Linked DNA regions of Xenopus tropicalis. The protein of the gene in region 1 interacts with the protein of each later gene in a pairwise test. Links are inferred from orthologs where the notes say so. Each region holds a gene or a part of one and is shown on either strand. Other genes may lie near its edges. The genes, in order: spred1, ncald and hpcal4.

Region 1 (4,434 bases):
CACTGTATTAAATGAGAAGTGACCAGTAGCAATGCCAGTAGTTTCACTGCTGCTTCCTTTTTTCTGGGAGAAGAGTGGTAATCAAAATGTCTGTGTGCCATAAGCCTAAGCTCTTGTAAACAGGGACCTTTCACCATTTATACAGGTTGCATTTGCATCCAATTATTTGCATTGTGCCCCAATTATATCCAGCTATGAAATATGCCTAGTAATTTTTACATAAATTATAATATTTCTGGTGTTAATAATCGCACACACCAATTTGCACAGCAATTGCTCATATTGCAGAATAATGTACGTACATATGACATATAACGATAAGCACATTTACATATAATAATAAACGTTAGCTTACAATGAACATGCTACAAAGATGTCTTTGGTGGTGCAGTGCCTCTGCCAGCAGAAAAGCAGCTCACCTGTCCAAGAAACATGCCTTACTGCTGTTATTGACCTACAATTTCCAGCATTTACCAGTCCTCCTCATCATTTATTTATATAGCTCTGGCAAGTTACACATTGCTTTACAAAATATATCAAACAAGGGTTACAAATTGTAAAAGGGTATGGTTTGTAGAGGCTACAGAATGAAACAGTAGGATTAGAGCGGCCTGCTCACAAAAGCTTACACTCTAATAATGCTGGGAGCTGAGCAACAGCTAAAAAGGAAAAAGGTCAAATAGCCCTGCTTTACCTAAGTGGCCCTACGCAAAGGCTAATTTGTCCAACACCTTTCAATCAACTGTACTCTCCAGGATGGCAACAGAACGGTGCATTTCCCACATGAGAGTAAATGGCAACTATGCAACCTGCCCTGGTACAATAAAATAATGCAAATATATCCCAGAACAGTTTGTAGAAATATCACATATTAATAGAATAATACTGAGTTGAAGCTCGAATGTAGAAATTATTGTAGCAAATGTGAACACTAATAAGCCCAAGGTGCATAGTTCAATTCACCTTATCAGCAGGCTGATAAATCAGCAGAACTGAACAGGGTTACACAAAAGTTGTGCTGTCAGAATCACAATTGTACTAAAATACTTTTGGCGTATATATCCTATGAATCACAATATTTAAAGTGAAATAAAACAGAAATTAAACGTGCAATCAAACGCATTGGAACCAATGCATTCACTTTGGTGTTTCTGTACTTTCTAAAATAACCATGTATTACTGGCACCCAGGCATTTGATTTATTTTGAGGGTGTGCTCATCTTTCTGCATTATATATAACCATTCATGGACAAAAAAATAGCCATACAACGACACATATACAAATGTATATAATAACTGACAGCACAAGGCACACATATATGAATGTGGTACATTGTTGAAGCATAATAAGGCCGCCTCGTTAAATCATGCAAAAAAAGAAAAAATTGCACGCACATGGATACAGTAAAAAATAGCCATCTTTTCTAAAATAGGGAAATTCACTCTACGGTCACTGATGAAGACCTTCTCAAATAAACAATTTCCACATGAAAATCATATACAAATATGTAAATGTTGTACACCTGCACAAAATCAACTGCAAACCATATACAAACACAAACATGATATATACATAAACAATACAATGATGCAATAGCTATATATATAAACATACACATATATTTAATATACACACTTATATACATATATATGAATATATGTATACAAACACACGCTCCCATACATACGTGTTTGTGTGAGCACACAAAGCAGTTATGCCCAACCTGCGGCTCTCAGAGGATACTTAAAGGAGAATATAAGCAACTGCTGGAGGGCCGCAGGTTTGACATCTGCAAAATATCTGATATATACTCTCACAACTCTGGTCATGCCCATTCCCACACCTTGTGTCTCAACCCTTTCTCCTTGTAGATTGTAAGCTCTTTTGGGCAGGGCCCTCTTCACCTCTTGTATCGGTTATTGATTGCTTTATATGTTACTCTGTATGTCCAATGTATGTAACCCACTTATTGTACAGCGCTGCGGAATATGTTGGCGCTTTATAAATAAATGTTAATGTAATGTAATAAAAATATACTCACATTACAGAATGCCTGCATAAATTATGAGATGTGTCTTTGCATAGTTATATTATATACACCCATAATATACAGATAGACATGCTAGACTTTTGATAGATAGATAGATAGATAGATAGATGATAGATAGATAGATAGATAGATAGATAGATACATAGATAGATAGATAGATAGATGGGCCATTATACCATAGTGTAAGCCACACCTGCCAAGCATTGCTTAGATACAGTATGATGCACTGACATTATAATGCAAGTATTAGTACATACTGTGCTTTAGTCATGGAGACTTTTTCACACAGCTCTAGCTTATCCCATGCAGAATTGCAGCTCCAGGCACATACACACAGGTAGACAAGCCAGCCAGAAATACCTTGCCCACAACCCATGAGAGGCAACATAGAGAAAAGCATTGATTGCACTTGGCCACTATGTCCCCCATCCCCTTGCACACTCAGTGCCCATGATTAGAGTCGGGGAGTGCACAGTAGAACACACATTCTGCCTGTATGCGCTCACACACGCTCTCTGCATTCCCACTCGCACAAGTGTGCAGCGCTGGGGCATGGGATCCACACAGGGACTAGCCCGGCGCAAAGCGCTCCCTGCGCATCCCAAAGGCCTAATCTACCCATCCCGGTGCAATAGAGACCAGTACGGGACACAGGTGGCACTCACTCTGGCTCCTGTTCGCCGCTCATTGTCCCCTTTCACCGGGCTCCGATTCGGGGCTGGCTGCCGTCGGCCAGGGCGCAGGGAGGCTCCCGAAGGAGACGCATGGTGAGGGCACAGGGATCCGGGAGGCAATCGGAAGGTTATATGGGAAGTGCGCCCCGCCGGAGCATTCGAAACAGCGATAAACTGCGGAGAAGCGATTTAAAGGCAGGCCAATCCTGCGCCAAGCATCCGTGCGAGTGCGCATCCAGAACGGACCCCCCTCCCTGCGTTTCCCCTGCTCTCCTCCTCCCAGTCTCTCCTCCTTCTACTGGGGGTGGAAGGGAGAGGGAGGGTGCTCCTCCTTTACAGTTCATACATATATGTGTACATATACAGGCGCACACACACCAGCGCCTTCCTCGCTGCGCCTTAGCTTTACGCTCACACACAGACAACTTTGCAAGAGCCTTTGCATATACTTCTATTTCTGGACCCATTGTTTAACCCCTTATGTAGAAGTCCCAACGAGCCGCCTTTGAGGAGAAGCGTTTTATTTTCTTTTCGTTATATAATTGTCCTGACAGGATCCCTGGGCGATTATTCAGTTGGTTAAACACATTTATAACTTATATGTTTTTTTTTCTCAATGGAGAAAATACACAGATACATTGAAACCAGGCAGCCTGGACTCTACAGTTGCTTAATTGCCTCTTGGATTGCTGCCATACTGCCAAGTGTTCTATTGTTGAATTGGAGTGACAATGTGGACAGCAGAGCAGGATGGTACTAAAGAGCCCACAAGTATAGTAGGTTTGGAAATACCATAAACTGGTCATAGGTTGAACTATCCCCTCCTCCGTGAGGTCCCAAAAGAAGCGAATCTTTCACTGATATCAGTGTCATACTGGGACCCCAGGGGCCCACCAGAAAACCTTAGACCCCGGGCCCACTTTCCTAACAATTTTTCCTCTTTTGCTCTCTTTATTCTCCTAGTCTCTTTTATTTACATGCTAGCATCTATTCTTCCATCTATTTCTCCTCTGTGTTCCCATTCAGAAATAGGGAATGACCATGAAGCAGGCCAAATGGTCATGAGCAGGAGGGCCCACTTACACCTGGGCCCACCAAGAGTTTTCCTGGTGGGCCAGTCCGACACTGCCTGATATGCTCAGAAGCAGATATTTCCCTGATATCTCATTGATCCTATCATTTGACCCTCCAGTCAAACAATATGATTATGTTGATGGGATACAGGCCGTTGGGACGAGGACCACATCAATGCACTAATGTGTACCTCATTCGATGGGATTTTTAAACTTACCCAATTGACATCTGGTCAGATACTAGTCCAGTAGCCTGTCTCAGACCATCAGCAGCTTTTATTGGCCCATGTATGACCACCTTTAGATTGACGCACAGTGGCCGTGTATGATATACAATTATTTAAGGAGAAGAAAAGGTACAATCACTGGGGATTGCCAAATGTTAGACACCCCCCAGTAATTATAATCTCTTACCTGATAATGCGAGCCAGCGCTCCTGTTAGAAAACTGCACCGACCTGGGGTACATGTGAATTATCCTCTTCTTCTTTCTTCGTACCAGGTACGCATGTGCAGTAGAGTGAAAAGCCAAACATTACCAAAAAAGCCAGCTTTTTTACTCTGTTGCCCATGTGTTGGCCTGTGATTTTGAAAAAGGAAGAAGGGGAAAAAAGTATCACTCACTTGCTAGTACCCA
Region 2 (4,154 bases), on another chromosome or scaffold:
CAGGTCCTCTAACCAGTGAAAGAAGTCTCGTTGCTGCGTAAGGATTAAATATTTTGAAACGAGGATAAACCCAAATAAGAGCTGCCAAATGGATTACTTCTATATAATCCGCTAACGGCTGCAAAAGAGAACCCAGAGTGGCAGTGGCCTACAGAACAAGGCAAAGTAAAATAAAACAAGTTCTGCTTTAAAGGACAAGGTAAGGCTATGTGCCTGTGGTGCCCGGTATTTTGAATTAGGCTTTCCTTGTCTATTAAACATGAGCAAAGAATAGATGTGGAAGTTGAATTTTCATATCCCATTATGACTCCGCAGTAACTGATAACAAAAATCCATTAATATATCATATTTAAACAGGTACAGGTATGAGATAATTTATCCAGAAGGCTTGGGACCAGGGGTTTGCCAAAAGACAACTAAAGAATTCAACATTAGACATTGTAGGAATTGGAGTCTTGGCTGAAGGAGAACTAAATACTGTTACATTGTTTCACACGTGCATGTAGTCTGGACCAGCAGTGCAGGAAAACAGCAAGGGATAGCCAGATATTGCTTTTTATTAGCAACTGCGTGTGTAATTATAGTATATGGAAACTTTTGTAGGTTTATATTTACTATAGAATGTATCTTATTACACCAAGACAAACATACAAAAGGACTGGCAGAATGACTCAATAGGGCATTTCATTCCAAATATTAGCTTTTAGGTTCAAGGTCTCTCTGGATCAGCCTTTGTAACAGTATCTCCCTTCCAGCCAGTGTTTGCTAAGTATTAACCCCCCATGAGTAGATGGGATGATATCCTTCCAACAGAGATCTCCAATCAGGTGGAAAAAAAAAATAAAATCTAATGATAAAGGACTTTTATATATTTGAATTAACAAATATATAACGATATCTGAATAAATATTATTTGAAACAAGAGGCACACAGTTTGCAACCTTGAAAGCATGCAACATTTCCTAGAGGATGTATTCTAAATTTATACTTCCTATGTCCATATCTGGCATGTTTACACTATACATATATATACATTCCCCTAGGGCAATGGGAAACATAAAGGGTTTTTTTGTAAGTTATTTCCTATATGTTTTTAGTTTTGCATAGGGCAAAGAAGGGGGCAGAAGTTAAATAAATCAGGGGTGCTTATTAACTGTCTAGCGCAACTCTCCGCATCACATGACAACCAAAGGAATGCAGGGAGTTGTACATTAAGGACAGTTGGTGGGCATCCTTTTGGTTGTCAGGGCATTCTGAGAGATGCAGCAGAACCACAGTAAGAAGGGTATGTTGTATACACTGAAAATGGTCTTACACAATACACATCATTAGGACTTTTAACTATGTTTTTCACAATAAGGGTGAAGACACACAGAGCTATTAGTAGCAGCTACTTTTTCATGGATACGAAACTCCAGAAAATATCCTGCCATAGACAATACTGAGAATTTCCTCTGCTAAAACACATGTAGAGACTGTTATCAGTAAATATTCAGCAGTCTATTTTAGTAGCCATGACAAGTAGCTGCTACTAGTAGCTCCGTGTGTCTTCACCATAAAGCTGAGCATACGAGTTCAGATTTTAGTTGTCTTACAATGAATGTTCGACCTAAAACTAACATTCAGATTTAAATTGTAAGATTAAAGACCTAAAAATAATAAATCTGACGATGTTTTGGTGATTAAGAATTGCCAGACAACAATCATATGAAAGTTATGTCCTGGTAATACATCGTAAGTTCCCCAAGGAAATCATCAGATAGGCAATACATGCACAGATATTGTTTTCCAACAAAAAGCCTAACCTGTCTGATCGATTAAACAACCAATTGCCATTGTACGTAAATTGTCAGTACAATAATTCAGAGCCTACTAACAGTCAGAAAACTGAATGAAACTTTGTTTCGTACCATTAAATCGGTGTGTGTATGGCCAGCTTGGAGCGTACAGGTCAAATTCTCATTCTGCCTAGCTTCCCAGCACCAAACAGCCCTAGAGAGGCAAATCAGCCACATGAAAATGACTAAGTAGCTGCCAGCAAGAGTGCAAAGCATTTCATCAGATCTGTCTGCCCTCATTAGTGCCAACAGGGCTCTAGTGCAAATGGTGTGTGTGTCACAATGCGGAGTTATTGTATGAAGTAAGTTCAATGGGGGGGGGGGGGGGAGACCAAAAGCAATCAACATTATCACTGAAAACAAATGGTATCATCTTAACCCACTGTCTAATTCCGGAAAGCTGTGGGTCACACTACTTCCTATGTGAGCGAAAGCACCCAACCAGGAGAAAGTGACTTCTGTCAGTACAAAAACGATTTTGTAAGACAAAAAATCCCTGGCAGAATTCTGTTTCACAAGACACTCGTATATTGAATTACTACACAAATCACTAGGACCACAGAATTCTGTTCCTGATACACAAGTCACTTGTATCACGACTTGTGCAAAAGTCTATTGTCGCAGTGTCGCACAACGGTGTTGCTGTCAGTGCTTAGGGAGCTGCTATGTCACTTAAATCAATCGTTCCCAGCAACTTGTGGGCGCAGCACTGAGAAACTTTCAAATGCACAAGCCACGATAGTGATAGAAGCATGCGGCAAAGTCGTATAGCGATTGTACTCACTCAAACCGAAAGACTTCTCTCCACTTCCTCCTGCTGATCGCAGCACCGGCCCCAGTGTGGCAGCTCCTACACCGAGTACACACGTTGCGGCGGATCTTATCCCTGCTGCATGGGTGCAAAGTGCTGCCCCGCACACACAAAGTTGCTCGGGAAGAAAGCAGAAGAGACAGGGGAAGAGCCGTGACTTGCGACTGCGGCGGCAGCTCTCATACAGCGCAGCGACAAGGCGAGGAGCGGGGCAGTTTAGCAGACGGGCGATTTAATAGTCCATTCTCCGGCGGAGCGATAGCAGCAGCAACAGGAGGAGTAGGAAGCAGCGCTCTCACACTGTAGGTCCCACCATGCAACACATTCACAAGCCTCTGGGCTGTGTGTGGCTCCCAGCGCTGGCTCTGCCCCCACATGACGTCACGTTCTCTTGTCACATGGCCACATGAAAGGCGAGAGAGAGAGAGAGAGAGCGCTGGTTGTCCTGGCAACAACAGAAGTGTTCTGAAAAGATTTCAATAGGTCAGATTCCTTCTCCTGTACTGTGTGCGCATTGTAGTCATTAGATGCGGCCTGACAGCCCTGGGGGATTGCTGTGGCACACCTGGTGCCCTGCTGCTAGCCAAGGGGCTAACTGTACTGGGGCTGCTAGCCAAGGGGCTAACTGTACTGGGGCTGCTAGCTATATCCTGCATACTGTACTGGGGCTGCTAGCTATATCCTGCATACTGTACTGGGGCTGCTAGCTATATCCTGCATACTGTACTGGGGCTGCTAGCTATATCCTGCATACTGTACTGGGGCTGCTAGCTATATCCTGCATACTGTACTGGGGCTGCTAGCTATATCCTGCATACTGTACTGGGGCTGCTAGCTATATCCCTCATACTGTACTGAGGGGCTGCTAGCTATATCCCTCATACTGTACTGGGGCTGCTAGCTATATCCCTCATACTGTACTGGGGCTGCTAGCTATATCCTGCATACTGTACTGGGGCTGCTAGCTATATCCTGCATACTGTACTGGGGCTGCTAGCTATATCCTGCATAATGTACTGGGGCTGCTAGCTATATCCCTCATACTGTACTGGGGCTGCTAGCTATATCCTGCATAATGTGCTGGGGCTGCTAGGTATATCCCTCATACTGTACTGGGGCTGCTAGCAATATCCCTCATACTGTACTGGGGCTGCTAGCTATATCCTGCATACTGTACTGGGGCTGCTAGCTATATCCCTCATACTGTACTGGGGCTGCTAGCTATATCCTGCATACTGTACTGGGGCTGCTAGCTATATCCCTCATACTGTACTGGGGCTGCTAGCTATATCCCTCATACTGTACTGGGGCTGCTAGCTATATCCCTCATACTGTACTGGGGCTGCTAGCTATATCCTGCATACTGTACTGGGGCTGCTAGCTATATCCTGCATACTGTACTGGGGCTGCTAGCTATATCCCTCATACTGTACTGGGGCTGCTAGCTATATCCCTCATACTGTACTGGGGCTGCTAGCTATATCCTGCATACTGTACTGGGGCTG
Region 3 (4,347 bases), on another chromosome or scaffold:
ATTTCAAACCTGACTGATATCTGACTGATTCTGACTCTATTAGACAGGCTCTCCTAAGGACCATTAAACTGCAGACTTGGTCAGAAGGGGCTGAGGTGCCAGCTTGGCCCATGTATGACCTTTGAACTAACATCATACATGATGGATCATTTACTTAAGTAGTGTAAAAAAAAGTCTAATTGGACAGTTTTTTACCCATGATGCAACTTTCTTTCCCAGAAGAAATACTGCATCATAAACTAATGGTGGACAGATTTGCACTGGTTACTAATCTTGTCATAAATGGGTACAAGCCTGCAAGGTAAGGGGCACAATAACATTAAGCAGTTATCTATGGGGCTTTCAGTTTTAGAGTTTGGCCTGTATTGTTCAAAAAAATAAAAAAAAACCATAACATACATATATTCCCTTTATAACAATAGGTATGTTCAGTATACATAAAGTTTAACTTAACTATGTAAGTCCTAATATGTGCTGAATTAATGTTAAAAATTGGGTATCCTGCCCTTCGCTTCTGAAATTATTGCTTAATAATTTGCAATATTCCTGCACTGGAACTTGTTTGAAATTTACCATGGGCTTATTATACAGATACTATAAGAAAAAACACTTTCAGTGCATTGTAGATCAAAAACGGTGATTTGTGCTTTTATTATGCACTGGCTTAGTAAATTAGCTACTAAGGGTTGAACTAGTTTAGAAAACTCATCCTGGCATACACTATAGAGTCCTTGTTGGACCTTGTAATCTTGTTCTTGGGCTGCAGGAGGTAAAGACACAGTGTAGGCCTGAAAGGTGTTGCACCTATATGGGTAAACTGGGTGCACTGGATTGGAGTCACACTAATTTTCTGTAATTCTTGCCAAATAAGAGCATAAATGAAGACATTTCTATGGCCTTTTTCAATCTGCCATGTACTTTATTACATCTCTTAGTGACTTACTCAAAATTTCATGATGCCTTGTGGCATTTTGTGTGGTCCTCATGATCAGAAAGAAATATTTACTGAAACTGCCAGTCAGTAGTTTTGACTTTGCTTTTTCCATTGTGGATATACAGATTGATATGGTTTGTGTGTAGTGTCAGTCATGAATAAATAACTCTTCCAACTGATTAATATCTGTCAGTCCTACCTGTTGTTTAATTCAGAAGTTATTGTACTTGAGCTATAGTATTGATAGCTTTGTTATTTTTTCTTATGCCTGAACCACTTCAACAGATCAATGGTTTTGCATGTACAAGCTTATGCTGAAGGCAAAACAGATGATGATGTAAAGAATAGCTTTTAATCAGATATCTTTAAAAAAAAACATTGGTTACTGTAGCATGGTACAATTACAAAATCTGCGCTTAACACACAAGTGTTACAATGGCATATGATGATGTGTGTGATTGGATTAAACATTTTAACAGATATTTTCTTCCCTTTAACATAATGCTTGCCCTTTGCCTTTACGGATTTGCTATCATCACCTGACACTCTGCTTGAAGATGTAAGCAATGATAAGCTGGATTCCTGTAAGTTAATATGATAATATACTTGTGTACATATATATTTCACTATTTTATGGTATGTTAATGGAAAAAAATCAATATGCCACTATTGTGCCTGAGAGGATGTTAATAGCAATATTCCTGTACGTATATGTTTATGTTATTGTACATCTGTGTTTATAGACCACTGGGATATTGTTGTGTCTTTCAGTATATGTGTGTCAGGCTGCTAGTGGAGGTTCATTGTTCATGGCTGCTTGTCCTAACAGTTTCTCTCTTTGTCTCTTCCTCTCATTGCTGAACGAATATCACCATTTTCCATCCTGTGTAAGTGTGAGCTGGTGCTGAGGTGGTTACTATGGCAACTGCTGCCTGGTACACATAGGACTCCCAGAGTGCACTCTGAGAGTCTGTATATTTCCCTTACTTTTCTCTCATTATGCTCTTTATTGTAATATCCACCCTAAAAATAAAGTACATATTTAAGGCAAACACAGGATCTTGCTTCATGGATCTCAAGCATGTAAAGTAGGAATCTGAAATGTGCACGGTTTGATGATGGGTATACTAAACTGAAATGGAAATTGGGTCAGTGATTCACAGTATTCATAGGTTATATAGTAATATATATATATTATTTTTCTAACACTGTATATTTGTGTCCCACTATACATATTTGTATCTGGCTGATGAACAATTTCCATCTATGTAATGCCACGACTCTTGTATGCTCTGACATCCATACATAAAAAGACTGCATCTTACTGTTTGCATAAATATCTGGGATTTGGAAATCATTATGCAAGAAACCACTAGCAAGAGAAGTGTTAAAGTCAGATTATGTTCCAGTTGCAATTTTACCAATACTACACAGATGTGAATTATTAGACCTGCGCAATTACACAAAAAGCTCGAGGCACACACTAAATGACACTGCGTTCTACAATCACCTGTTCTTGCTGAAAGGTCTTTTGAAGTCGACACAGAAAACACATTTACAGAACTGTAATGCCCCTTCCTCTGCCATTAGTAAGAGGAGCTGGACACAAAACAGAGAGAGAATAATAATTTAAACAAAAGCCCAGCTAGATACAGCCTTGCATGAGGGATAATTGGTCTTGATGTCCTAAAATTGTTCCAGCCATGGAAATCATCTCCTAGACTAGCAGGTTGGGCTACTATACAAAGCATATCACTGTAAAGTCTGCTCTCTAAAGAGAATACTCTGTTTAGGGCCACCTTATTAATACAAAGCAAAAGCATATATACTGTACCTTAACGTTGAATGATATACCTCTGGATTCTCTGTGATGGTCCTGCTGTCTTGCTCCTGTTTTTTCTAGCTGTGTCACTTGCTCACAGTGAGATGTTTTTGGGGGGCAGTAAGCAAAACCCAGATCACGATGTTTGCCTGTCACACCTTATTTGCATAGTCCCACCCTCCCATATACACTGGTTTGTGCCATTGGTGGGGAGGTATGTTAACAAGGTGAAATGTCCGTGTGGCTCAGGATGCCACTGTGTGTCACAGGGGACAGATTTGGCTAGTGGTAGCAGAGGAGGCCAGTTAGTAAGAAAATGTCTAGGGATGTAAAACAAGCTCCACATAGGGTTTCCATAGAAACAGTAGCCATGGCACTAAGATGCTGTGCTCTGAAGGAATGAAATAAGAGAAAAACACAAATTCATGCAGATATATACAGGACATGTTATTTTTGTCACAGATCTGTAGATGTCACAGAAAAGACAAGAAATATACATAAATGCATACTCGATGATGCAAACCTATGCAGATTTCTTAAGCAGCTATTTTTAAATATGTAGTGTACATTACATATGAATAATACATGGAAATAAACCCAAAAAATACACAAAGACCCATAATAAACCAGATATATTCAACTTGAGTTTCTCTGTATTATTGGCAGTGGCGTATACTTGCTCATAGTTCATGGATCTTCGTCAGGCAAATGTAAAATGGGTCTGAATTGTATGTTGTTCATGAAAATGTGGCTGTGCAAGCCTAACCTGGAAAACCATCTCCATTATAATTGTGTTAAAGATTGATGGGAATGATATTAGTTCCAGCTAATATTAAGCCAATGATTATGTCTTACCATAAAATACATAGAGAAAATACTCCAGAGTACTACATATAGAATGTATAGTTCAAGTAACCAGAGCAAGTTTGGCAAAAACATTAAATGGAGAAAGAATCTGCAGGAAACGTCCCCAAAGCTGACCCCCACCAGCCACATCTACAAACCTATAGTCTCTCAGTAACACATTAGCCTTATGGATTTATGAATGGTCTGGTAGACTTCATATTAATTAGTGTTTTAAATGTTTAGTGAGCCCTGTGAGTGCAGTTTTTCTGCATTATTTGTGTTGTTTCATGGCTCCGGCACCCAGGTAGGGTTGCCACATGGAAAAATACTGACCTTCCTATATTTTTATGTTTTCTATTTCCCTGTTAATAACATTGGCATTAAACATAATTTTTACAGGTAGTGCAAGTAAAATACTGACCAGGTGGCAAACCTATTTATGGTGTAAACCATACATATTTAGCATAGGATTCTTATTTGCCCTAATAGGCCTCCTTTAGATAAACATAAAACAAGGGGTGCACTTCCATCATGTAAAATAGTACCAGCATCTATATATAAATAAAAATAATGCACTTACAATTTAGCAGTTGACAAATTGCTAATCAGAAAAGTCCAGACAATGTGTTCCCAATGGGTTTTGTATTTATGGACCTACTAGAACTAACACTGACATGTAACTATTTTAGAGACTTGCATTATTTCTGCAAGTCTCTGGGATGGCTATGGGAAGTGTGCTTGCACC

Evidence for each region.
Region 2: the proteins of spred1 (region 1) and ncald interact in binary tests that used the Homo sapiens proteins (3 or more experiments, as listed by UniProt). The link is inferred for Xenopus tropicalis from reciprocal best matches to the Homo sapiens genes SPRED1 and NCALD.
Region 3: the proteins of spred1 (region 1) and hpcal4 interact in binary tests that used the Homo sapiens proteins (3 or more experiments, as listed by UniProt). The link is inferred for Xenopus tropicalis from reciprocal best matches to the Homo sapiens genes SPRED1 and HPCAL4.

The regions. Positions count from the first base shown.
Region 1 is NC_030684.2:110,838,735-110,843,168, forward strand, and holds the start of spred1 (sprouty-related, EVH1 domain-containing protein 1), read right to left. Parts: upstream 2,875-4,434; 5' UTR 2,740-2,874; coding exon 2,717-2,739; intron 1-2,716. UniProt on the Homo sapiens protein: Tyrosine kinase substrate that inhibits growth-factor-mediated activation of MAP kinase. Negatively regulates hematopoiesis of bone marrow.
Region 2 is NC_030682.2:131,164,447-131,168,600, forward strand, and holds the start of ncald (neurocalcin-delta), read right to left. Parts: upstream 2,892-4,154; 5' UTR 2,623-2,891; intron 1-2,622. UniProt on the Homo sapiens protein: May be involved in the calcium-dependent regulation of rhodopsin phosphorylation. Binds three calcium ions.
Region 3 is NC_030678.2:90,976,462-90,980,808, reverse strand, and holds the start of hpcal4 (hippocalcin-like protein 4), read right to left. Parts: upstream 2,834-4,347; 5' UTR 2,769-2,833; intron 1-2,768. UniProt on the Homo sapiens protein: May be involved in the calcium-dependent regulation of rhodopsin phosphorylation.